Alligator mississippiensis: one gene and its partners. The protein of the gene in region 3 binds, or shares a complex with, the protein of the main gene of each other region. Links are inferred from orthologs where the notes say so. Each region holds a gene or a part of one and is shown on either strand. Other genes may lie near its edges.

The links.
Region 1: the proteins of PFN2 (region 3) and VASP are in contact, whole or in part, in a crystal structure (PDB 2V8C), measured with the Mus musculus proteins. The link is inferred for Alligator mississippiensis from reciprocal best matches to the Homo sapiens genes PFN2 and VASP. Residues at the interface, in NP_062283.1 of Mus musculus: Gly3, Trp4, Ser6, Tyr7, Asn10, Cys13, Tyr30, Trp32, Met131, Tyr134, Ser138, Phe140; in NP_033525.2 of Mus musculus: Gly165, Pro166, Pro167, Pro168, Pro169, Pro170, Gly171, Pro172, Pro173, Pro174, Pro175, Pro176.
Region 2: the proteins of PFN2 (region 3) and DIAPH1 are in contact, whole or in part, in a crystal structure (PDB 2V8F), measured with the Mus musculus proteins. The link is inferred for Alligator mississippiensis from reciprocal best matches to the Homo sapiens genes PFN2 and DIAPH1. Residues at the interface, in NP_062283.1 of Mus musculus: Ala2, Gly3, Trp4, Ser6, Tyr7, Asn10, Ala28, Tyr30, Trp32, Arg108, Met131, Tyr134, Leu135, Ser138, Phe140; in NP_031884.1 of Mus musculus: Ile635, Pro636, Pro637, Pro638, Pro639, Pro640, Leu641.

What each region holds. Positions count from the first base shown.
Region 1 is NC_081838.1:110,369-117,909, forward strand, and holds the start of VASP (vasodilator-stimulated phosphoprotein), read right to left. Parts: upstream 3,015-7,541; 5' UTR 2,969-3,014; coding exon 2,934-2,968; intron 1,818-2,933; exon of another isoform or gene 1,590-1,817; coding exon of another isoform or gene 1,547-1,589; intron 1,313-1,546; coding exon of another isoform or gene 1,254-1,312; intron 1,076-1,253; coding exon of another isoform or gene 1,029-1,075; intron 818-1,028; coding exon of another isoform or gene 748-817; intron 212-747; coding exon of another isoform or gene 73-211; intron 1-72. Other genes in the region: RTN2 (reticulon-2), read left to right, coding at 73-211, 748-817, 1,029-1,075, 1,254-1,312, 1,547-1,589. UniProt on the Homo sapiens protein: Ena/VASP proteins are actin-associated proteins involved in a range of processes dependent on cytoskeleton remodeling and cell polarity such as axon guidance, lamellipodial and filopodial dynamics, platelet activation and cell migration.
Region 2 is NC_081832.1:40,894,921-40,901,844, reverse strand, and holds the start of DIAPH1 (protein diaphanous homolog 1), read right to left. Parts: upstream 3,058-6,924; 5' UTR 3,018-3,057; coding exon 2,913-3,017; intron 1-2,912. UniProt on the Homo sapiens protein: Actin nucleation and elongation factor required for the assembly of F-actin structures, such as actin cables and stress fibers. Binds to the barbed end of the actin filament and slows down actin polymerization and depolymerization.
Region 3 is NC_081830.1:61,625,942-61,633,060, forward strand, and holds the start of PFN2 (profilin-2), read right to left. Parts: upstream 3,004-7,119; 5' UTR 2,850-3,003; coding exon 2,718-2,849; intron 2,492-2,717; exon of another isoform or gene 2,068-2,491; intron 1,486-2,067; coding exon 1,293-1,485; intron 1-1,292. UniProt on the Homo sapiens protein: Binds to actin and affects the structure of the cytoskeleton. At high concentrations, profilin prevents the polymerization of actin, whereas it enhances it at low concentrations. By binding to PIP2, it inhibits the formation of IP3 and DG.

The DNA of each region.
Region 1 (7,541 bases), on a different chromosome or scaffold from region 3:
CCCCCAGCAGGGGTCACTGTGGGGGGCAGAGGTAGAATCTGATTTGTTGCTGACCCCCTTTCCCCGCTGCAGGCCCCTGCTGGACACAGATGTGTCGCTGTCCCCAGAGCAGCTGAAGCATGTGGCTGAGCGCATAGGGCAGCACATGGCCGCTGGTGCCCGTACCCTGCGCCACCTCTTCCTTGTCGAGGACCTCGTGGACTCCCTCAAGGTGCCCTCGCCCCTGACCCCCAGTAACCCCCGGTGACCTCTGGGAGGGTCAGCTGCCCTCAGGACGTACCCCCAGGCTGCCCCCTGTGACCTCACACGAGGGCTGTCCCGGCAGGGGTGGGGGTGTGAATCCCGATGCTTTGTGGGGTGGAACAGAGCTGGATGGGGCAGCACGGTGTGGTGACTCCACACTGCTGCTGGCTTCACGTCCAGCCACTTGCCACCCCCCTCCTCGCTGCCAAATCTGCCACCGGCTTCCTTGTGTCTGGGGGCGGGGACCCGCACAGGCTGCTTTGCCCTGGGCCCCACACCCTGCTCAAGTGGTCTGCCTCACACCCACCCCATGGGCAGAGACAGCCCCAATCCCACCCCCGGGGCTGAATCCATGCCAGACCCTGGTATCAGCCCCATCCCTTCCTGCCCATGCTGTTGTGCCAGGGCCTGATCCTGCCCCCAACCAGGCCCTGGATAACCCCCACCACAGGCCCTGGGTTAGGGTAGGAGGAGCTGTGCTGACCCCCCATCTTGCCCCCTCAGTTCGCCTTCCTGTTCTACATCCTCACCTATGTGGGTGCCGTGTTCAATGGGCTGACACTGCTGCTCATGGGTGAGAGGGCACTGGAGGCAGGGGCAGGGGGGCATCTGGGCCCAGTGGGAGAGGGATGAGGGGAACCATGGGGGAGGGGGTGGCATGGTCTGGCTGGGGCTGTGTGCAAATGGGGGGGAGCTGTGTGAGGGCAGGGTAGGGAGTGGCCCAGGCAGGGAGGGCAAGGGTTTGGGGGGGCATGGCTTAGTCTGATTGTCCTGTTCTCCCCCAGGTGTGATAAGTGCATTTACCTTCCCTGTGCTCTACCGGCATCACCAGGTGAGTGTGTGCACATGTGTGCATGTGCAGGGTGGGGAGAAAGCCTTGAAGCAGAGGGCAGATGAATGCCAGTGTCCCTGGGGGAGACAGGCTGCTAGCCCTGTGTCCTGCTATCTCAGGCAGGGAGGGGGTCTCCAGGGGCTCCCCACCTGCCTCACCCCCAGTCCATCTCCTGCAGGCACAGATCGACCAGTACGTGGGCTTGGTGAGGAACCAGCTCAGTCACCTCCGAGCCAAGTGAGTGCCGTGGGGGGGGGCTTCCAGCACTGCCCTCCCCCCCAGAACAGCACCCCTAGTGCATGGGGGCTGCCCTGCCAGCTGGCAGGGGGAAATGAGGGGGGTCATGTGTAATGCAGTCCCCAGTGGGGGCAGGGATGAGGGTAGGGACTCCCAGGGGGCAGGAACAGGGTTGGGAGCCCCAGGGGGGCAGGGCAATGCCCCGGCATGTGACATGTCTCTGCCCCCCTCCAGGATTCAGGCCAAGCTCCCAAGTGCCAAAGCAAAGGCAGAATGAGCATCCACCCTGCCCCGCTCCACCTGAACCCCCTCTGCTGCCACCCTGGGCACAAGTTGCCCATGGGGGGATGCTTGGCGCTGATGGGACGGGGCTTACCCAGGGATGGGCTGGGGATGGGGGCAGCTTGGTGCTCCGGGGCACGAGCTGGGGCAGGAGCCACTCCCTTACCCATGCCCACCCCGGCTGTGTGGGGTTTACACTTTAATAAAAACTCTTGTCACAGAACCGGAGTCCTGTCCATGGAAAAGGTGGGGATGGAGCTGAATACACCGCATTCTTCTCCCCTAGCTGGGAGGGAAGAACCCAGGCATCTGGGTTCCCATCCCCAAAACCCAGGCATCCTATCCCCATTCCCCGCCCCCCTCCTGCCCCCCCAACTGCTCAGGTTAGGTGCCCCTCCCCCGCAGCCTGGTGCTCAGAGGCTGCTGTGGCTCCCTGAGACCCCTGTCCTGGCAGGGGGGAGCAGTGCCAGAGGGGTCTGGCCAGGACTCCTGGGTTCTGTTGTTGGCACCAGGCAGGTACCTCAGAGGCAAGCTACAGTTGGCCTCCCTCCACCTTCCCCAACCCCCTCTCCATCTGCCCCGGGGTGTGGGAGCTGATTGGGCACCTGCCTGACATGGGAGGGGGCAGCCAGGCCATGCTGAGGAGGGGGTATCAGACAAGGCCTGAGCCCTGATCCTGGGCTGGGGAGTGAGAGATTCCCCAGAGCCATGGCTGCCCTAGAGGAGGACTTCCTCCCTCCCCTCCTCCCCCATGAGCCATCCTCACCCCAAGCAAAGTGAGGGAACCCAGGAGTCCTGACTCTCACCCCCACCCCCCTCATCCCAGACTAAACCACCGCAGCCCACTCCCCTCCCAGACAGGGGATAGAACCAAGGCGTCCTGGCCCCCACCTCTCTGCCCTTCCTGGCTCACCTGGGCCAGGCTGTGGCCCTCACCCTGAACAGAGGCCCCAACCCCACTCCTGGGGCAGGACTCCTGGGTTCATTCTGGGCGGGGAGGGGTGCCCCTGTTTCGCTGCGCTGGGCCGCACGGTGGCGCCTCCGGCCCGGCCAAGCCTCGGGATCCCGCTTCGCATGGGGGGGGGGGCAGCAGGGCCAACCCTAACCCAGCCCCGCGTCCGCCTCCTCAACACCCAGAGCCAGTGGGTCAGCGGGGTGCCGGGAGCCGGGACTCCTAGGTTGCAGCTGCAGCTGCAAGAGGTCTAATGCAGGAGGATCAAATCCATCCCGGTCGCGGCGGGAGGAGGGGCCCTGGGTCTCTTCAGGCCACTGCCCCTCCCCGCACCTGCAGGGGTCCCCAGCCCGACCCCGACCCCTATCGGGACTGCACAGCACGTACCCCGCATCTCCCGCCCTGAGTCGTGCCCATGCCATCGGAGCCAGGCCTGGGACCCAGGGGCTGCATCGATCCGGCGTGAGCAGAGACCTGGGCGCCGGGACTCCTGGGTCCCCCTGCCGGAGAGGAAGAGCCTGATCCAGTCGGGAATCCCGGAGCCCCTTCAGCCCTAACCCTAGTCCCAGCCAAGGTCTCGCCGCCCGCAGGCGGCTCCGGCCAGTCATTCCATGCAGGGAGTCTCCAGCAGAGGAGCTCTGCTGGGAGCGGCGATGAGCCGGCAGGGAAGGCGTTAACGCGGGGGGGGGGGAAGAGCTACCCCCCCCAGCCTTGTAGGACCCAGCCCTACCCAACCCTTGCATCGATAGGCGTCTCCAGCCAACCCCGCCCCTCCCCTATAGAGGTCCCAACCCTGCCCCGCCTCCACAGCTATAGGGGTCCCCAGCCCGGCTCCTACCCCACCCCTACCAGGTTCTGGTCCCGCTTCTCCTCTCTCCCTCCCCTGTAGGGTCCGGGCTCTGGCACACCCTCACCCCTATACAGTCCCACCCACTCCTCCACCACACCTACAGGACCCCTCACCCACACCCGTCTAGGCTCTGGCTCTGCCCTTCCCCCACCTCTACAGGGCTCGCGGCCCTGCCGCTTCCCTGCCCCTATAGGGTGCCGGCCCCGCCCCGCCCCACCTCTGTAGGGGTCCCTAGCATCCTCTCCTCCATATCTATAGGTCCTAGTTCCGCTCCTCCCCTATAGGGCCCTGGGCTCGCCCCTGCCCCTACCTGGGTCGCGGCCCGGCCCGCACAGCCCGCCCCCCCCCCCTCACCAACCCGGCCGTGGGTCTGGGTCCCGGCCGGCGGTGCTGACGCCGGGCAGCCCCGCAAGGCAGCTGCCCCCGCGCTATTCTTAGCGCCGCGCGGCTAAAAATAGCGGTCGAGGCCGGGACTGACGCCGCCGAGCGCAGGGGCTGAGTCAGCGCTGCGGGGCCGGGCAGGGCCGGGCCGGCCGAGCTGGGATGCCTCGGTTCCGCGCCTGCGTGGGGAGCCGGGTCGCCTCGGTCCAGTCTCAAATGCAAGGGGCAGGGGCTGGACGCCTGGATTCTGTTCCTGGGCGGGGGATAAGGGCCGGGACGCCTGGGTGCCATGCCTGGGGGTGGAGGCCGGAACGCCTGGGTTTTACCCCTGGCCCTGGGAGGCGGGGCTCCTGGCTCCAATCTCATGGGGGGGGCAGGACGCCTAAGTCCAGCACTTGTAGAGGAGGGATAGAGTTGGGGGCGGCCAGGACGCCTGGGTTATTTTCTTGGCTCTGGAGGACTCCTGGATTCTCCAAAGAACCCTCCGCCCGGGTTCCCGGCAGCAGGTGCAGAACTGTGCCCCCGCCAGCCCTAAGAATGGGACCAGCCAAAACCGCGGGGATCCTGGCCAAGGCCCCCGGGGCTCAGTGTGCTAAGTGTGTCCTACCCAGGGTGTGACCCCCTCCAAGGGCACATTCAGGCCCCCTGCACCTGGAGAACCCAGCCCTACCCCACCAGGCTGAAAAGCATGGAGCTGGGGTCTCAAAGCCAGCCCCACCCCCCTCGCCCCCAGCCGTCGGCTTGGCCCCTGCTCCAGCATTGCCTCCACCGCAGATACCGAGTGCCCCCACACCCCACGCAGGGGGACAACCTGTTGGGCAGGGGAGGGGGTGGAACCCAGGAGTCCCAAGGCCCAGGCACATGAGCGCCCCAGAGCAAAGGCTGCCCTAGAGAATGCTGGGAAATTTCCACCTCATCTGGGCTACATCGTGTCATGTCTCAGGGCAGCAGGGCTGGGAGCTATTGCGCCCCCCCCCACTGGCTCGTGAGGCTGGATGGAGGGGGTCCAGCATGCCTGGCGGGGAGGGGCTGGGGCTGCCAGGCAGGTACCAGGCCCCTGGACTCTGAAAGCAAACCACCTATGAGTTCCCAGGCCCAGAGCCCCATGGCTGGGCACAGCCTGTGGGAGCACTGGCTCCATGCCCCCCTGCAGCCAGCTGGGGCATCCTAGCCTCAGACACTGGCCCCTGGTGTCCCCGTCCCAGGCTCAGAAATGTCCACACAAGGGGTCCCCACCATCTGATCCCCCACTTCCCTCTGCAGCTCCTCACACTCGCTCCCCAGCCCAGCACGGGCAGCTCCATGGCCTGGCCAGGGACCCTCATAGAGCCACATGCCCTATGAGGATCCTCTGTGATGGGCACTGAGTGACAACCAGACTCCTGGGTTCTCTCTCCTGCCTGCTGGACTGGCTGAGGTGTGGGGCCTGGGGCTGCCCTCTTGGCCCACCCAAGTTGTCATCTCCCTGTGCCATTCTCTGTGGGTTGTGGCATTCTGGGCAGGGCTGGCCCTGCATTTGGGGGTGGGGGGGGGGTCTGTGATAGGGCTCCCTCTATGGCTATCCCCCCCCCCCCCCCGCCGCGCAGGGGCAGAGTAGGTATCTGGGGCAGCGCGACTCTGCTTTGGGATCTCTGCAGATAGGCACAGGGCAAAACCCATCCTGGAGTCTGGCCGGCAGTGGAGAGAATGTCCAGAGGTGCCCCCCCCACCCTGCCCCGTAGCTCTGCTGCACCCTGTTATCCGTCTGTCCGTCCTTCTTCACATGTTCCCCCCTCTCCCCTGACACATTGAGGAAAAGGCTCGGTACTCCCCACATGGCCGGCTGGCGGGCGAGGTGGTGGCAATGTAGGTGCCCAGTCCCCCGCGCAGGGGAGTCCTGGTGCATCCGCACGCCCGCAGGACAGCCTGGTGCCCGGGGTTAGAGCCTAGTGCCGGGCGGGAGAAGCCCGGGGTCCAAGCTGTGCAGCGGGGCAGCGAGGAGGAGATCCCAGGGCTCCCTGCATGCCCAGCGGGAGATGCTCGGTGCCCCGGTTCCTGGTGAAGAGAGATGTCCGATGGGGGTCCCTGCAGGAGCCCTGTGCTGGGTGCAGGGGAGATCCTGTGCCCGGGGAAGGGGCGGGGTGCATGTCCAGTGCTGAGGGAGGTGGATGTCTGCTGCCCCGGGGTGGGGGTGGCTGCATGCCCAGTACCCACTGCTCAGGGGGCTGGATGATTGGTGCCCTGGGTGGGGGGGGCGGTGCATGCTCAGTGCCCGGGGATGGATGCCCAGTGCCCAGGAAGGTGCATGGTGCATGCCCAGGGAGTACATGTCCGGGAAGGGGGGGGGGCGGGGTGCATGCCCGATCCCCAGTGGGAATGCATGCCCGGTACCCAGAGAGGTACATACCCGGTGCTGCATGCCTGATGCCTAGTCCCCGGGGGAGGGTGCGTGCCCGGTGGTGCATGCCTGGTGCCCGGGGCGGGAGTGCATGCCCGATGCCCGGGGGGGTAGGGGGGGGCATGCCCGGTGGTGCATGCCCGGTGCCCGGGGGGGGGGGGGGGGTGCATGCCCGGTGCCCAGCCCGGTGCCCCCGCCCTCTCCCGCTTCCAGCCGCGGCCGCTATTTTTAGCAGCTCCGAGCCAAGCCCGAAATAGCGCGGCCCGATATGGAGCGCGATGGAGTCACAGCTTCCGGCACCGACGTCGGCGGCCGCGGCTGGGCCGGGCCCTGCGCTCACGGCGCCCGGGGTCTCCGCGGCCGGGGCGAGGGGCGGTGCTGAACTCCCCCCCCCCCCCCCCCCGGCTCTGCGCTGCCGCCGCCTCGGGCAAGAGGCTGCTTAAGGTGCGGGGAGGGGGGCAGAGGGGCAGCCAGCTGGAGGCGGGGGGCAGGGCCGAGGGCTGCGCTGAAGCTGCTTCTGGGGGGAGGGAGAGGCAGGGGGTTGTGTGTATCGGGACCCCCTCCACAAACACTCTCTCTCCCCCCCCCCGCCCTCTCTCTCTCTCTCTCTCTGCTGGAAGGCAGCTACTTCTAGGGTGGAGCGAGGAGGGGAGTGGTACACAGGGGACCACCCCCCCACACTCTGGTGCTGGAAGGCAGCTGGTTCTGGGGTGGAGCCCCGGACTGTGTACACAGCCCCCCCCCCCCCCACGTGCTGCTCTAGGGGGGAGCTGAACTGAACTGGGGGATCCAGCTTGGGGACAGGCGTTGGGTAAGGGGCCCCTGGAGACACTGTGGTGCTGGGGAGGGGGCGGTTTCTCCCAGAAGCAGTAACCCCCCAACCTCTGGGGCAGGAGCCAGAGGCTAGATCTAGGCCCCACACTGATGCCCCTACCCTCACCCCACTGGCTCTGACAGCCAGGTCCGGACCTCACGGCAGAAACTGAACCCAGGTCTTCTGGTGCCGCCCAGTGCAGCTGCTTACTGGGCCCAGGGCCAAGGCTGGAGTGGGGCCAAGCCAGGGCTGGGGGGGTGCACACACGCAGGCCTGCCACACACATACACACAAACTGTGCACACCACACATGCACACAGACCCACACAGAGTCCTGCCATGCACACAGACACACGTGCTCACTGCCCTGCCCTGCCCCACCCACACACAACTGTGCACATACATGCACATGCATATATAGAGCACTGTCATACACAGAGACACACACACACACACAACTCTGGCCCCTGGACACACACACAGCTGTGCATCACACAACCTCGTCTGTAGCTGGCACACACTGTCTCTCCCCACATTTAGCCCCACAGCACACCCCACAGCACACACAGCCCC
Region 2 (6,924 bases), on a different chromosome or scaffold from region 3:
CTGTACTTCTTAGTCTCCCAATTGACTATGCCCCCAATAAAGCATGTACCCCACTAGGTAACTGTTTTAAAAATTAATGTCTGATCATTAAAAAAGAATTGTTTGATATTCAGTCTTTTTTCCTTTTCTCCGAGAGAGAGCAATTCCCAAAATTTGGATTTTACAAGTTATAAAGGGTTTACTTCATTCAATAAAGATAAACTGGAAGTAATTTGGCTTTCAAAAGATTTTTCAGTTTCAACATTTTTAGGCTGTGCTGGCAAAGTGATTCTGTGTTGCTGTTACACTTTAAGATGACCGTATCTATTATTTTTTCTACATACAAACACTAGCAACCCATATTTTTTACTTACACCTTCACACCCTTGTGGTCTACTCCCTGTCCCATAGTGGTCAGTTAGTCAAACTTTACTATAAGCTTTACTATCAAGTTTTCCTCAGACCAGTCCATCTAGCCCCCTAACCATTTCTAATCTTCTCTGAATCACCTCCAATTTAGGATATCCTAAATGTAGACAAATGACAAGCCTTTAGCTCATCTAATAATAACTCTTTGGCTCCCGAGGCAGCAAGTACATATTTTTGAGGGGAAACTATTTTCACATAACTATTAATGAATTTCAACATCCAAAAAAACAGTTTGCATAATTACATTCAATCTCCCTTAATTCAGAGGAAGTTGACAGTAATATTTTTATTGTAGTATTTTAAATTTCCTACCCTATACTTGTGAAAAGTTGATATGTGTTACCCAAAGTGCTACACCGTTTCTTTCCAGAGATGGGTAACATTTCTATGATCAATTAAGTGATCTATGTATCATACAAAGTACTTTGTGATGTGTTTTTGAGATTCTTTTGGAATAAAAATGAGCTACATAGATGTAAGTTATTACAAACCTGCTAATACCACATATTGTAAGGGTATCTAACTCTCTTAAAGATCTTAATACTTTCAAAGCTTCCTTCTGTTGCATGAGACATATAGTAAGAGACACTCCCTGTGATCAGCATTTCCTTCCTGTTTCTTTTATGTGACTTATGGACAGCAATAAGTGGATTACCAAACTAGACTGCATTCACCAAATCCAATACTCACTGCAACCTGGCCAATACACTGTTAAGCCCCACTCTACATGTAAATTTACCTGAGAATAGAACAGAAAGGTTTAGCAACAGTGCCAACTCCTCTGTGATCAGAGAGGGACACTGCCCACATGATGCTTTGAATGAAGTAATGCAGCTTCATTCAAAATGTGAAAAATACACTGTGGCAGGGAAAAGAACCTACATGCAACCAACCAGCAGTCCCAAACACCAAAACATTAGACACCCACCTCTTAGCAAAGGCCCCTGTACATTCAGTGCCTTGAGCACTGTTTGATCTATAGGCATCATCTTGTACTCCTACTCTTCAGCTAGCACCCTTGGGGGACACTTTTCTTGCATAAATAAGATTCCAAGGGTCGAAAGGTCCACAGCAGTCCCACTGATCTCTTTTCCCAAGAGCCCCTTCAGTTAATCCACATCCCTCTGAGGGTTTACCATCAGAGCCTGCCTAAGGCTGAGAAAGGTACATACTACTAAACAGATCAGTGACCCCTCATAACTAGATGGAAACAGTCAACAATCAGAAACCTTAATCTGTGCTACCAGGGCTCCCATACAAGCAGCTACAATGAAAAAAATATTGTTCAATAGAGACTCCTGGAGTTACATACGTGCCACAAATAGGAAAGGATCCAGAAAGACCAAGTAAGCCAATCAGTGTGCAGACCTAACATCTTCCTCCAAATCCTTACTTTTAATGAGAACAAATGGTGTAATGTTAACCCAAGTGAGCTAACAGTTTAAAATCCTACTGCAGACCAAGCAGTACATACCTTTCATACATGTCAGCAGGTCAAGTTAAAATCCGAGTTAAAAACAAAAGGGGAATCTAATCTTTAACTTGAGCTGCTAACTTCCATCAAAATGACAAGCTTCCTCATCTTCTCTGGGATTTTTACTGGAGTTAAGGATACACTTTTTTTTAAGCCTTTTTCAAAAGATGAAAGAAATCAAATGGACCGCTCTGCACTGACCAAACTGAGACCAGAACCTACAAGCATTCAGACTTTACCGGGGAACATTCCTCTTTCTTACAAATACATTTCAATTTGGATCTTGCTGAGGGACCTACATGATTTGCCTACAGCAAAGGCATCAAACACGTGGCCTCAGGAGCTGTTCCCTGCAGCCTGCCTGTGACTGTAGCCAAGGAATGCAGGGCTGGCTAGCAGGAGGCAGGGAACTGGGGCCATGGGGCCAGCTGGGCATGGTCACTGGTGGCAGGGGGCAAGCAAGCGTCCAGCTCACAGCGGGGGGTGACAGTTGCAACAGGAAGAGCCCCCCAAGATCCCACCGAAGGCCGCGGCCCCACCGGTATGGCCCAGGCAAGTGACATTTCACGAGCCAGCAAAATGGTCAGCAAGTAGGGCGCTGCTCAAAGGCAGGGCGAGCTCTGCCCGCGGGCTGAGCTCCCGCCATAAAGACACGCTCCCTCCAGCCCGGAGACAAGTGCGCGGGGCGGCACTGCGAGCCCGGCCCCGGGCTCCGCTTCCCGCGCCGCCTCGAGCGGGACCCGGCCTGCGCCGCCGGAGCTGAGCTCCCGGGAAAGTCCCCGCGGCCGCCCCAGCCCGGGCAGGAGGCTGCGCGCGGCGCCACCGCCCGGGGCTGAGACAGAGCGAAGTCCGTCCCGGGGGGGCAGGGGCAGAGGCGGCGACCGCGCGGGACCCGCCGCACCCGCACGCCGGGGCCTGGCACCTCCTCGGGCGCCGCCGGCAAGGAGGCACCTGCGGCAGGTGAGGGCCGGGCCAGGCCGGGCCGCGCAGCGCGGGCGGGAAAGGCGGGGTCCGGCCCCGCGATACTTACGAATTTCTTGGACTTGCCAGAGTCCGCGGGTGCCGCCGCCTCCTCCGGGCCCTTCCCCCGCCGCTTGTCCCGGCCAACGCGCGCCGAGCCCCCGCCGCCCTCCATAGTGCCGCCGGCTCCTCAGGCCGCGCCGCTCGCTCGCCCGCCCGCCCGGCCGCCCGCTGCAGCCGCGCCCGGCCCCGCCCGCTCATTCCGCAGGCAGCATCTCATTAGCGGACGCGGCTCCTCTCATATTCATGAGGGGGCACTTCCGCTTCCGGCCTGCAAGAGCGCAGCCGCCCGGGCGCGGAGGGGAGCTGCGCCTTGCGCGCCCGCGGCCTGGAGGCAGCGCGGCTCAGTGCTCGCCCTGCCGCTGCTCGCGCCAGGCCGGCCGGCGGCCCGGCGCCTTTGGTACGGCGCCGCTGCAGGGCGCCTGTCTTGGAGACTCGGGCCCAGGGGAGCCTGTCCCTGCCGCCGCCCAGCGCCGCAGGCCGAAGAGCAGCGGAGGCTTAGCCTGTTGTGCCCATCCCATCCCGGCTGTGCTTCTCACTTGCTGCCGCTGGAGAATCAGAGGCCACTAAAAGCAACCAAACTGAGCGGGGACGGCTGTGGCTGACCTCTACCTGCAATTCTTGCAACAGCCAAGGGAAAAGCCTTTTCGGAGGCTGAGGCTTATAGGAACCACAAAGGCACTTGTTGCAGGTCTGTAAGAAGAACCTGCCTATAATAATGACAAAACAGAACTGGCTGCATGCCAAAGCCAGCAGGGACACACATTTGGGACAGGAGGGGTGAGCCCCTGCATGCCTTGGTTGCAGAGCTGCTTCTCATTCCTCCTCTTCAGTAGACTGATCCAGCCCATCTCCCTTGTGCTTAACAAAAGGGTCAGCTGTCCTGCCCCTGCTGGGGCCCAAACCCAACCACCAGCCTAACTTGCCTGAGCTCTACGCCCCACCGTTCAGAAGCAGAGCCTGGGAGGAGTTCTGTGCCAAAGAATTCCCAAACAATAGGAATAGGGTTTACTTGTGATGGACTCCCTCCCCCATATTCCTAAAATTTCCTCAGCCCCCCCTGCCTCAAATTTAATCCAGGTTAGGAGTTAAAAATTGCTCAACTGCATTTCGTTATTTAAAAAAGGAAGTCACCTTATAGGTGGCTCAGCTGAAAATGCTCTTGACACTGAAAAACAGCTGCTGATGGTTTCTAAAGTTGAAGACCATCTGTATTTATTAATTTTCCCAGAGCAAAAGATACAATATCACCAAAATGAATGGGGTATTTTTTAGGTAAACTATCAGATTTTTCTGTCATTCAAACTCAACTCCTACTTGCCTGTTAAGAGCAGTAAAATCAAAGAACAGGCCTCTTGCAGAATAAATTACTATTAGGGAAGCACAAAATGCTGTACCCTTCTTCTCTCAAGAACAGCTTTCAATGTCCTCTGGAGTAGTATACAAGCCTGGCATTTTTTGCTGACAAACAGAAAACTCGAAGCCCATTTTCTCCAAGGTGTAGCCAGCCAAGATATTGCCAAAAGGCTTCCTGAATTTCTATCCCATCCTCTCTAGCCAGGCCAGTGAGAAAAACGTAGCTGGAGAGTGGGATCACTAATCCTACACTGCTTGCTGCTAAGCCTTATAATTTCTATCAAGAGGCTGAACATGTCCTGCTGGAATCTGTGGAACCTTTTATTAAGAATTGTTATGCTTTGAAGTAGAAACATTCTAAAGTAGGAGACATTCTAGGAATGTTAATCCTGTTATTTAACCTATTCAGATTATTCTGCATTATTTTTACCAGTTTATATTAAATAGGTTTTTGTTATGTGAAAGAAAAAAAGACTATAAATGCCAATGCAATAGAAAAAATAGCATATGGAAATACCTTCATAATCTATTTCGCATTTCTTGACTACCTCAAGCTGTAAGAACTCTCATGAAAAGGTCCTAAATGCAGTGAGAAAATAGAAATGAGCCATAGGGAAACAAGGGAAAGATGACACTTGGAACATACTGTACCAGTCACCGGAAGGTTATTGTGCATAGGCAAAAACCTGTTATCCTACAATACTGACCTCACTCTAGAACTGTTTCATCAGGACTATCAAGAGAACAGCCCATACCCATCACCTTCCTGTAATGATCTGTAGATCAGACAACTGTAAAAAAAAAAAAAAAAAAAATCCAAGTGTCATCACAATTGTAGAAATCTTCCTTTCTTCTATCCTGTTGTTGCCAGACCTACAATGTAATTTAATCCCAGTAGGACCAGCTTTCTCTGTCTCCTGAGAAATGAAGATGACTTCCAGACCAGAATTGTAATATCAGGCATTTTCTTACTAATGAGGATCTAAGGAAGTAGTGCCCTTGTCAATTAATAAATCCTAGCTTCTTTGGTAGGCTCCAAAATAAACAATTCTTCAGGGGATAAAAAAAAATCCTTAGGAAAGTTAGTTATGAAATTTCTCTCTTCCCAAATGCTCCAAATATTTCAAAAGCTATGTATGCCAAAATGAACCAGATAATCACTCCTATAACTCTACTGAGAAGACTGAAATGTAGTCTTCAAAAGTCTTCTGAAGAATTAGATTGAGACCTAATTTGAGGCTTTTCAAATATTATACACAATTGCTTCACTGTCGTATGTTCAAGATAATGATCACTAAATTCTAATGATGAAGTACTTCCATGTTTTTTCCTTTATTGTATCACTGCAATAGATCTGGTACACTGGTCTATTTTTATTTATTTGTAAATAAATACCATAGTTGTTATGGACATTTTGGCGATTTTGTTGCATTGCTGTCAAAATAATTAGTGAATGAGCCTCTAAATTGTAAATACTGCCATAATTAGTTTCTTTGGAAGCCTGATTTTTGTTGCCACTCTGGCCAACCTTTGTCACCTGCCCTTCTCTTTTTAATTGCTTAATAAAAGGATTCATTAAAGCAATGGGGGGGGGCAAATTTTGTCAGGCATGCCACAAATTGGATCTACATACTCCTCAAGTACCACTCTGATCCCCTTCTTCTGCTCAATCTGCTACTCCTGTTTCCTGCCCTGTGCTCCCTGCCCAGTCTGCTGCTCTGCTTTCTGCTTCCTGTCCAATCTGATGCTCTGCTGCCTGTCCTCTTCCTGATCTGCTGAATGCCACACACAGAAGCTGCCTACCCCACTTGTGGCATATGTGCCACAGGTTGGCAACCCTTGCTTTAAGGGACTGTTACACTTGTATATCACAATTCATGGATTTTTGATCTGATGTGAATTTGATCCTGAGCAAATTTTGAAGGTTCCTTTCAAGTACAAAAGTAGTGCTCATATTATAATTTGGCTGAACTTCTGTGGCCACTACTTTTATCTTATGCAGGTGAAATCCTGCTAGTCTCCCCTTCTATTATTTGGCAATGAAATAATATGGATTTGCAACCTTATCCAAAATCTTTACAAAATTGCACCCTTTAATCTATTTAGTGCCCAGCTTGTTTGTTATATCAGCTAAATGAAACAGCTGATCAGAAGACAAGAGAATGAGTAGACTGGATGTTGAAAAAGCACTTTAATTTGGGATTGGGCACTTAAGTCCCTCCGTGCTCTCTAAACACACAGGCCTTTGTTGCTGCAGAGAGCCAAGATATTTTGTAAGTTTCTCATACCATTTGTGGCATTCAAGTGAAACCTGAAATTCAGGGGATTTCTGTTCTGAGATAATCAAAATGTCATGTAATCATTCCTGTAAATCCAAGCAGCCATTTTCCTAGCCAAGACTTAAGAGCCTCTTGCATTAAAGCAGTGGTTTTCAAACTTTCTCAAGTCATGGAACCCTTTCATATCAATTCTGCTGTGAAACTCCTTCCCCTATCCTGTGAGCTGACATGGAGCCAAGCAATCTGGGATGGCAGTGGCAGCACACCACCTCCCAGCCTGCGCCATTACCCCGTCTCTTTGTGGAACCAATGATGACCTATTGTGCAACAGTCTGAAAAACCACTGTATTAGAAGAAAGGCAGCCACTGTTAATGAAGTCTGCCAAG
Region 3 (7,119 bases):
ATTGTTATCATTATTAAAATAATTTAAAAAAAAAAGCACAAAAAAGCCCAATTTAGCTTAGGTCTTAAGGCCTTAAAAATTTTTTTTATCCTCTCTAGTCAGATGAGGACATCTGAATCTTAGTATTAATCTTGTTCTTCCTCTTTCCATTCAGTTATCTAGGCTACAAAGTATCTATGCTTTACTAGGGAAGCCTGTCCCAAAGATGTAGTTAACAGAACAGTATATTCTAACTGCCACCAGATGTCACTAGAATATAGACTACATAAGCATTCTGGTCTTCTCAAGCACAATGGCTCTTAGTTTATTGAATTAGGAACGGTGGCACTGGAATCAGTTTACTATAGATACACTGCCTACATCATAACTATATTAGTGAGCTCTTAGAAGTGAATTTAACTCGTAGGGGTACCAAGGCAAAACCGTTGTAAGCATTCTCTGGTTAGGCAAGTCTATTATTCTTGTAAGGAAAGGCTATTTTAGAGTCAGATATCTTTACATAGTCTGACTAATGTTATACTACTTAGGTTAGAATCTCCATGTTATGTGAAGATTCATGAAACAATATTTTCTCTAGAGTTACTTCGTTTGTGAACGTTGGTTAGTGACGTAACATTCACAGAAAACCAAAACATTTGAGAATGCCAAGCTTAGTCTTGAATATACTTGTGTTGCTTGTACCCAGTTTTTTGAAGTCTAGATAGAGTTTAGCTTCTTCCAAGTAGCATTATGTTACAGAAATTTAGGGAAGGTGCACTACCAGTAATTAAACAAGCTTACTGTAAGTAACTGAGGTATCAATCGGATGCATTTCAAAAGCTCTCAATAGGTATGAGAAAAGTTAGAGTAAGACTTGTTAGATGTCCTGTAATTTAAGACTACTTCATACTAGAAATTGACAGCAGTCACTGCAGACCAGGTTTACACTACACTTGCTAATTCAACAGGATGCATTAGCACCCTCCCTCACTGGATGTTCTGAACACCAAACATTTTAAATGCAATATGCCCAGGGCAAGGGGGTAATATTGCATCTCCTTCAGCTGCAATATGGGCTACTCTAGAGTTTGTGGATACCGTTTGATAAGTATGGACAGATTTGATAAGGTATGGCCAAGAGCTCTATTACAGTCACTTATTTCAGTTACACCTGTGACTGCTAGACATGTACCACAGCCAACTTGCAATTTTAAACTGAAGGTCTCATTATAGAGATAACGCAAGTGGTTTCAGTCCAGTTTTGAAGGCAGGATTCCTGTTTTACTAAGGTCAGCTTCAAAAGGACACCTTACCTCGGCCAGCTCTGCCTACAGCAACATTGTATGTTGGCTCGCCACCTTGGCTCTTTGTCCTTATGTCCATCGTGCAGTCACCATCCACATACAGGCTATCTCTGATCACAGAGCACTTCTTTGCACCAAGAGTCAGACCATTGGTGAAGAAACCCTCGCGGTCTTTACCTACAATCATATCAATTTCTACTGGCTGTCAAGGGGAAGCAGGAAAGAAAAGGAAAGGATAAAAAAAAAGAAAGAATCTGATGTTAGACACCAGCAAAATCCAACCTGGCTGCTTACAGTGGTTTCCTGAAAGGGAACTCTTAACAAGGATCTGGCCCCTTGCTCCTGGCAGTGGGCTAAGTATCATCTTAAACACAGGTCTAAGTATCATAGTCCCAACAGTCCTAGCCTGAGGCTACAGGGTTTGCACCGGAGCCAGGTCCCTCGGGGAGAGCCAGCAGCACTGAGTCACGGGCTGCCCCACCGCAAGGCCACTGCCACCAGCTGGGGATGAGTCAGGCCGCCGGTCCCGAGCCGCCCAGCCCAGGGCCAGCAGGGCTGCAGCCAGGTGCGGGGCATTCCCTCCGCAGCCCGCGCCCCGCGGCGGCCTCCGCGCCCGCAGCCCCTGCCCCTGCCCCGCGCTTGCGTAGCAGCGGCCCGCGCCGGGAGCCGGGCTGAGGCCCGGCCGCCCCTGGCCGGAGGCGGGCTGGGAGGCTGCGCCTCGCACTGCCGAGTCGGGAAGGAGGCGTCGCCCTGCAGGAGAACTGCACCGTCATGGCAGGCCCGGCCATTTCCAATCACGGCCGCCACTGCCCGCCGGCCCGCCCGCACAAAGGCCGGCGCGGAGGCGTCCTCGGGCACCGGCCGGGCCGTGGCGGCCGCCGCCCCCGCACGCACCTGCCGGCCGGGCCCGGCCCTGCAGCGGCCTCAGCCCGGCCCGCGCCCCCTCCCTTCCCCCTCCCGGCGGGGCCGCAGCCACCGCCTGCAGCACGGCCGGCCCCGGCTCGCGGGGATGCCCGGCTCGGAGCCCTGCCCCGGGGGCTGCCCCTCCCCCGGGCCGGGCCGGGCCGGGCAAGGGGCTGGTGGGGGGAAGGGAGCGGCGCGGCGCGGGGAGAAGGGGAGAAAAAGCCCAGTGGCGGGGCGCCATCTTGGCCATGAAAAACATGGAGCCGCGGCCAGGGGGATTCACGAACGCCTCCTACGCCGCGCACGTAAGTGTGTCCGCAGCGGCTGGGCCCGGCGCAAGGAGTCCTACGCAAGTCCCGCCGCAGATCCCCGCGCCCCCCCCGCCCCGCCGCAGCGCCCGACCCCGGCTCCGGCCCGGCCCCGGCCCCGGCCCCGGCAGGCCCCTCGCCGGGCGGCCGCGCACAAAAAGCCCCGACAGCGCCCAGCGCCCGCTGCAGTCCCCCAGCCCCGCCGCCGCAGCGCCGCGCTCACCGTGATGCTCTGGAAGATGCCGCCGGCCGTGGCTGCCCAGACGTACTTAGCGTCGCAGTAGCCGACAATGGCGGCCTCCTGGCAGCAGCCATCGCACATCAGGTTGTCCACGTAGCTCTGCCAGCCGGCCATGGCGGCGACGCGAGCAGCGAGCGAGCAGCGAGGAGACAGGAGGGCGGCGGCGGCAGCGGCGCGCTCTGCACTCACTCGCTCCCCCCCTCCCTCCCGCTCACACACGCGCGGCGCAGCCCCAGCCCGAGCCCGCAGCGGCAGCGCACGGCGAGCGCGGGGGAGGGGGCGGCAGGGAAAGGAAGGGAAGGGCCAGGCCGGGCCGGAGCGAGCGGGTGGGTGGGTCCGCCCGCGCAGTCGCCGCCGCCCGCCTTTAACCCCCGCCCCCGCCCGCAGCAGCGGCAGGGCCGGGACCGGCGCCGCACCGGAGCGAGGGGGGAGGGAGCTGGGCGGGCCGCAGCGCTCTTTGCGCGGATGCTTCCGCCGGGTGGAGGGATCCGGAGCGGAGCGGAATGGATGGATGGCGGCGGCGGCACCGGGGTCCCCGGCGCCTCCTCGCCTCGCCGCGCTACGAGTGCGCGTAAGAGACGCGGGGCTGAGGCGGGGCCGCCGCCGCGGGGCGCGAGGGGCAGGGGCGTCCCTCTTTCTCTCTCCCTCTCCCCCTTTTCCTCCCTCCCGCGGGTCTCACCGAGCTGTTCCCAGTCGGGGCGCTCGGCGCAGGGCAGCGCCAGGGAGCCGCCGCGGGGCCGGGCTGGGGAGGGAGGGAGCTGTCCGCGCTGACGCCCGCGGCGCTCGGGCTTTCCCTGGTCCCAGGCTCCACTTGAAGCTCGCGGGGCTGCGACAGCTCCTGTCCGCCTTCACTGCCTCGGCGTGAGCTCCACCGCAGACGGCCGGAGCTGCTCGGCTGTGGTGGCCCCGGGCGGCGCAGGTGCCTGGCCCGCCCGGCCCTGGGGCGTCGCAGGCAGGCAGAGCCCCGCGGGCGGAAGGACCGGACAGCTCTGCCGCGCTCACTGATGGGTCTGGAGGCGACTCGAGTCGCGGCCACAGCAGCTGCGGGGCTTTCGGCAGGGGAGAGCAGGGCTTTGCTCCTTTCCCTTCCTCCCCCCTCTCTTTGCTTCCAAGGCAGGGCGCTTTTACCCCAAACAGGCTGCTGCTCAGGTCCAGCCTTGTCGGCTACTTTGCATTTTTCCCCCCGATGTTGAAGCTTAACTTCCCCTAGAGACGAATTTCTTTCCAGCTACCCGACACACATTCATTACTTTCAGGAGCTCTAGTTCAGTTGCCAAACTTAAATGTTCATGTGTCAGGGTAGATTCTCAGTAGGGTCAGCTGTTGTTATCCAGCCTCCCGCTGAAAACCTCTACGCTGAGGTGCCAGTCTCCTCAGCTTCTCTCTGTTTTGGTTTAGTCAGTTAATGCTTTTCCTTAGAGTTTCTCTGCCAAGGATTTCCTGTTTTTATTTTCTGTTTTCTTCTTAACTGGTCATGGTTTGAACATCCTGGCAGAAAGCTCAGCTTCTGATAACTCCTTGCTGGTTCAAACTAAATTACTGCCATTCAACAGTCCTATGTTACTAACTACCCTGCTGCCTCAGATCACTGGAGATATCAGAAGTTGAAAGCTCTTCTGCTGATATATTGAAAAAGGTGTGTCAATTACTGCTTTTTGCATGAATATGATAAGCTCCCACTTCTATCACAATAACATTTGTAGTAACTTTCTCCCATCAGTGCAGTAAGGATAACTTTCTATAGTACAGGTTTTACTCTTCAAGTTTCCTTGAGGGGTTTTTTTTCCTGGAGAACAAGTTTCTTCTCCAGTTCCTTGGTGTAAAAAAAAAAAAAAAAATCCCAGTTAGCTGTATTTATTTTCTAGAGTAACTTTGGCAGGAATTCTGTTCAGAAGGCCTCTGTACTAAAATCTGCCCGAGCATTAAGATGTATTGGGTCTGCTGTTTCATTTGGTTTGAGTTTCTCATTTTTGTATCTTTTAGGACTTCCAGGGAAGACTGAGTGGATGTGAGATTGTTTTTAATGCATTATACCTGAGAACCTACTTAAATTGCTGTTTTGCATTTTTTGCAGAAATTGTGAAAATTGGCATTGGCGGTGATATCCCAGGAAATTGACCAAAAAAAAACCCCTTTAAAAAGAAAATGCTGGCTCCTCAGTGGGAATCAGCGGTTCTTGCTGCTGCTGTGGCCTGCCATTGCAGCCCACCAGGGAGGGGAAGGCACCAGCTGGTGGGCAGCACAAGGAGCATCAGCCAAGATACTTCCCCCTCGTACCTCTTTACCAACCAGTGCCAAGGGCCAGGGCGGCACAAAGAGTTGCCAATAGTCAAGATGTCAGCTGCCCCTCATCCTTCCTCCCCCAGGGCCTCTCCACCAGTCAATGCTGAGGGGAGGGGCCACCACAAATGACTACAAACTCAGCTCTTGGGGCTGTGACCAAGCCACGAAAATTGCTTTCTTTCACTGCAAGTTGGGTAGGTCCCTAGTTATACATTGTGTGATTGGCCCAGGGGTCTGATCAATCCAGGAACCCATGTCGTTCAGCCTTGTGGGTTCCCCCTGGATCTGAAAATTTGGTGGTCTGGAGGTGATTGATGTTTACAATGTTAGTTGCTGCTTCCCTGCCGCCAGATTTCTGGACTCACGCAGAGCCTAGAAGGCCAGATAGCATGGCCCTGCGCATTAGATCAGCAGGGCTGGGACAAAGCAGCATGAGGCCAAATTCAGGTGTGCAGTGCTGGGCTGAGGCAATGTGGTGTCTGATCTGGGCACGTGGGCTTGGGCTGAAAGCTTCATGGGGCTGAGCTGAGGAGAGATTGCAGTGTCTGTAACATCTTCCCACTCACTTGCCTATAACAAAACATAAGGAAATGAATAACTGAATCCTTGTCAGGAGGTTATCGACACCTTGGTGAATACTGTCATTGTGGTAGATAACCTAAACAACAGTAGATTCCATGACAACTGAATACATTTTTGTTGCTGAGAGGAATAAAACGGACTCAGGATTTGTTGTAGGCATATGGATTAAATTCCATTTTACATGTTTATAGAGAGAACTTACTTTGTTCTTTGTTCTTTCAAACGCACAGCCACCTTCTGTATTTTGTATCCACATAGTCTTTCCCCTGTGAATTTGGCCTTAGTTAGGAGCCGATAGCTTTGTTGTATTTTCAAGCCAGCTGCAAAGATGCTTATGTGTCACTAAGTTTACTGATAAGTGATAGGATCTACATTTCATTTGGGATTTGTAATTAGGTTTGTTTTTTTTTAATTCTTGTTGGAAGAAGGGAAAGGTCTCTTCATCCTTTTTATGTGGTCCTTCATATATCAAAGCAAGCCTCACCTTGCCCAGATAGTAGTCTTTAACTGCTAATATGAAAGAAGGTTAGACAGCTTATTTTCAGGAGCCTGACCAAAGTTCAGGTTTCTCTGGGCCAAAATTACAATTCCAGATAAAACTGAGCAAACAGAAGTGGGTATCCTGTTAGCCCTTAAGAAACAGAGCGGGTTAGTGTGGGAGTAGTTTTTGATTTGCAGCCAGCTTAGATGATATACATAGTGTTATCCTTTGAGTGGTTAGAGATGAGTTTCGTTGGGATGGAGGGCTGATTGATGCACACATTGTGGTGGCTATGGTATGAGTAGAAATTCCAGGTTCTTAGTATATTAGCTGAGAACTACAGAATGAATTAACACCTGGTATTCTTGTTCTTTTAAAGTTATTTCTACAGCCTGCTCATTGTCTCTTATAACCAAAAGACAATGTCGTACTTCATTTGTCTAACATCTCTGTAATAGTCCAAGTTCCTGCAATGGTATCTAAGATCCTTCTGTGTTTCACCATAGGTATTCATTGCCAGCTAGGAGACAGAGGTAGGTTTAGAAAACGACCACCGCTTTGATGTTGCATATGATGTTTCTATAGCTAGAAGGGAAATTTTGTCGCACAGATTTTGGGCCCTAAACAGCTAAAAAATAATGTTTGCTCAGAGGGAAACACATCTGAGGAAATATTTTAGCAGCAATCTTGTAGTGGTAGGACTTTTGGTTCACTGATGGCTGGTGAGTGAGTTCCAGAGGAGGGCTCTGCTATCTGCTGGCTCAGCTCGTCTCATGTCTAGCACCCATGAGTATTGGATGTCCAGTACTCGAGAATGACAGTTTTCTAATCTCATTGGAAACACCAGTCATGGCATTTTTAGGAGAGCCTCTAAATATAGCTGTCTACTAAATGTAGCTCCTAATCAATTAACCCAATAGTACTTTGGTGAAGGCATGTAAATAAGCACAGAATTTGGACAGTTAATATTACTACTACTTGCTGGTTACATAGCACTTTACATTTTTGAGGTGCTCAGATATGATGCTGATGGAGGTG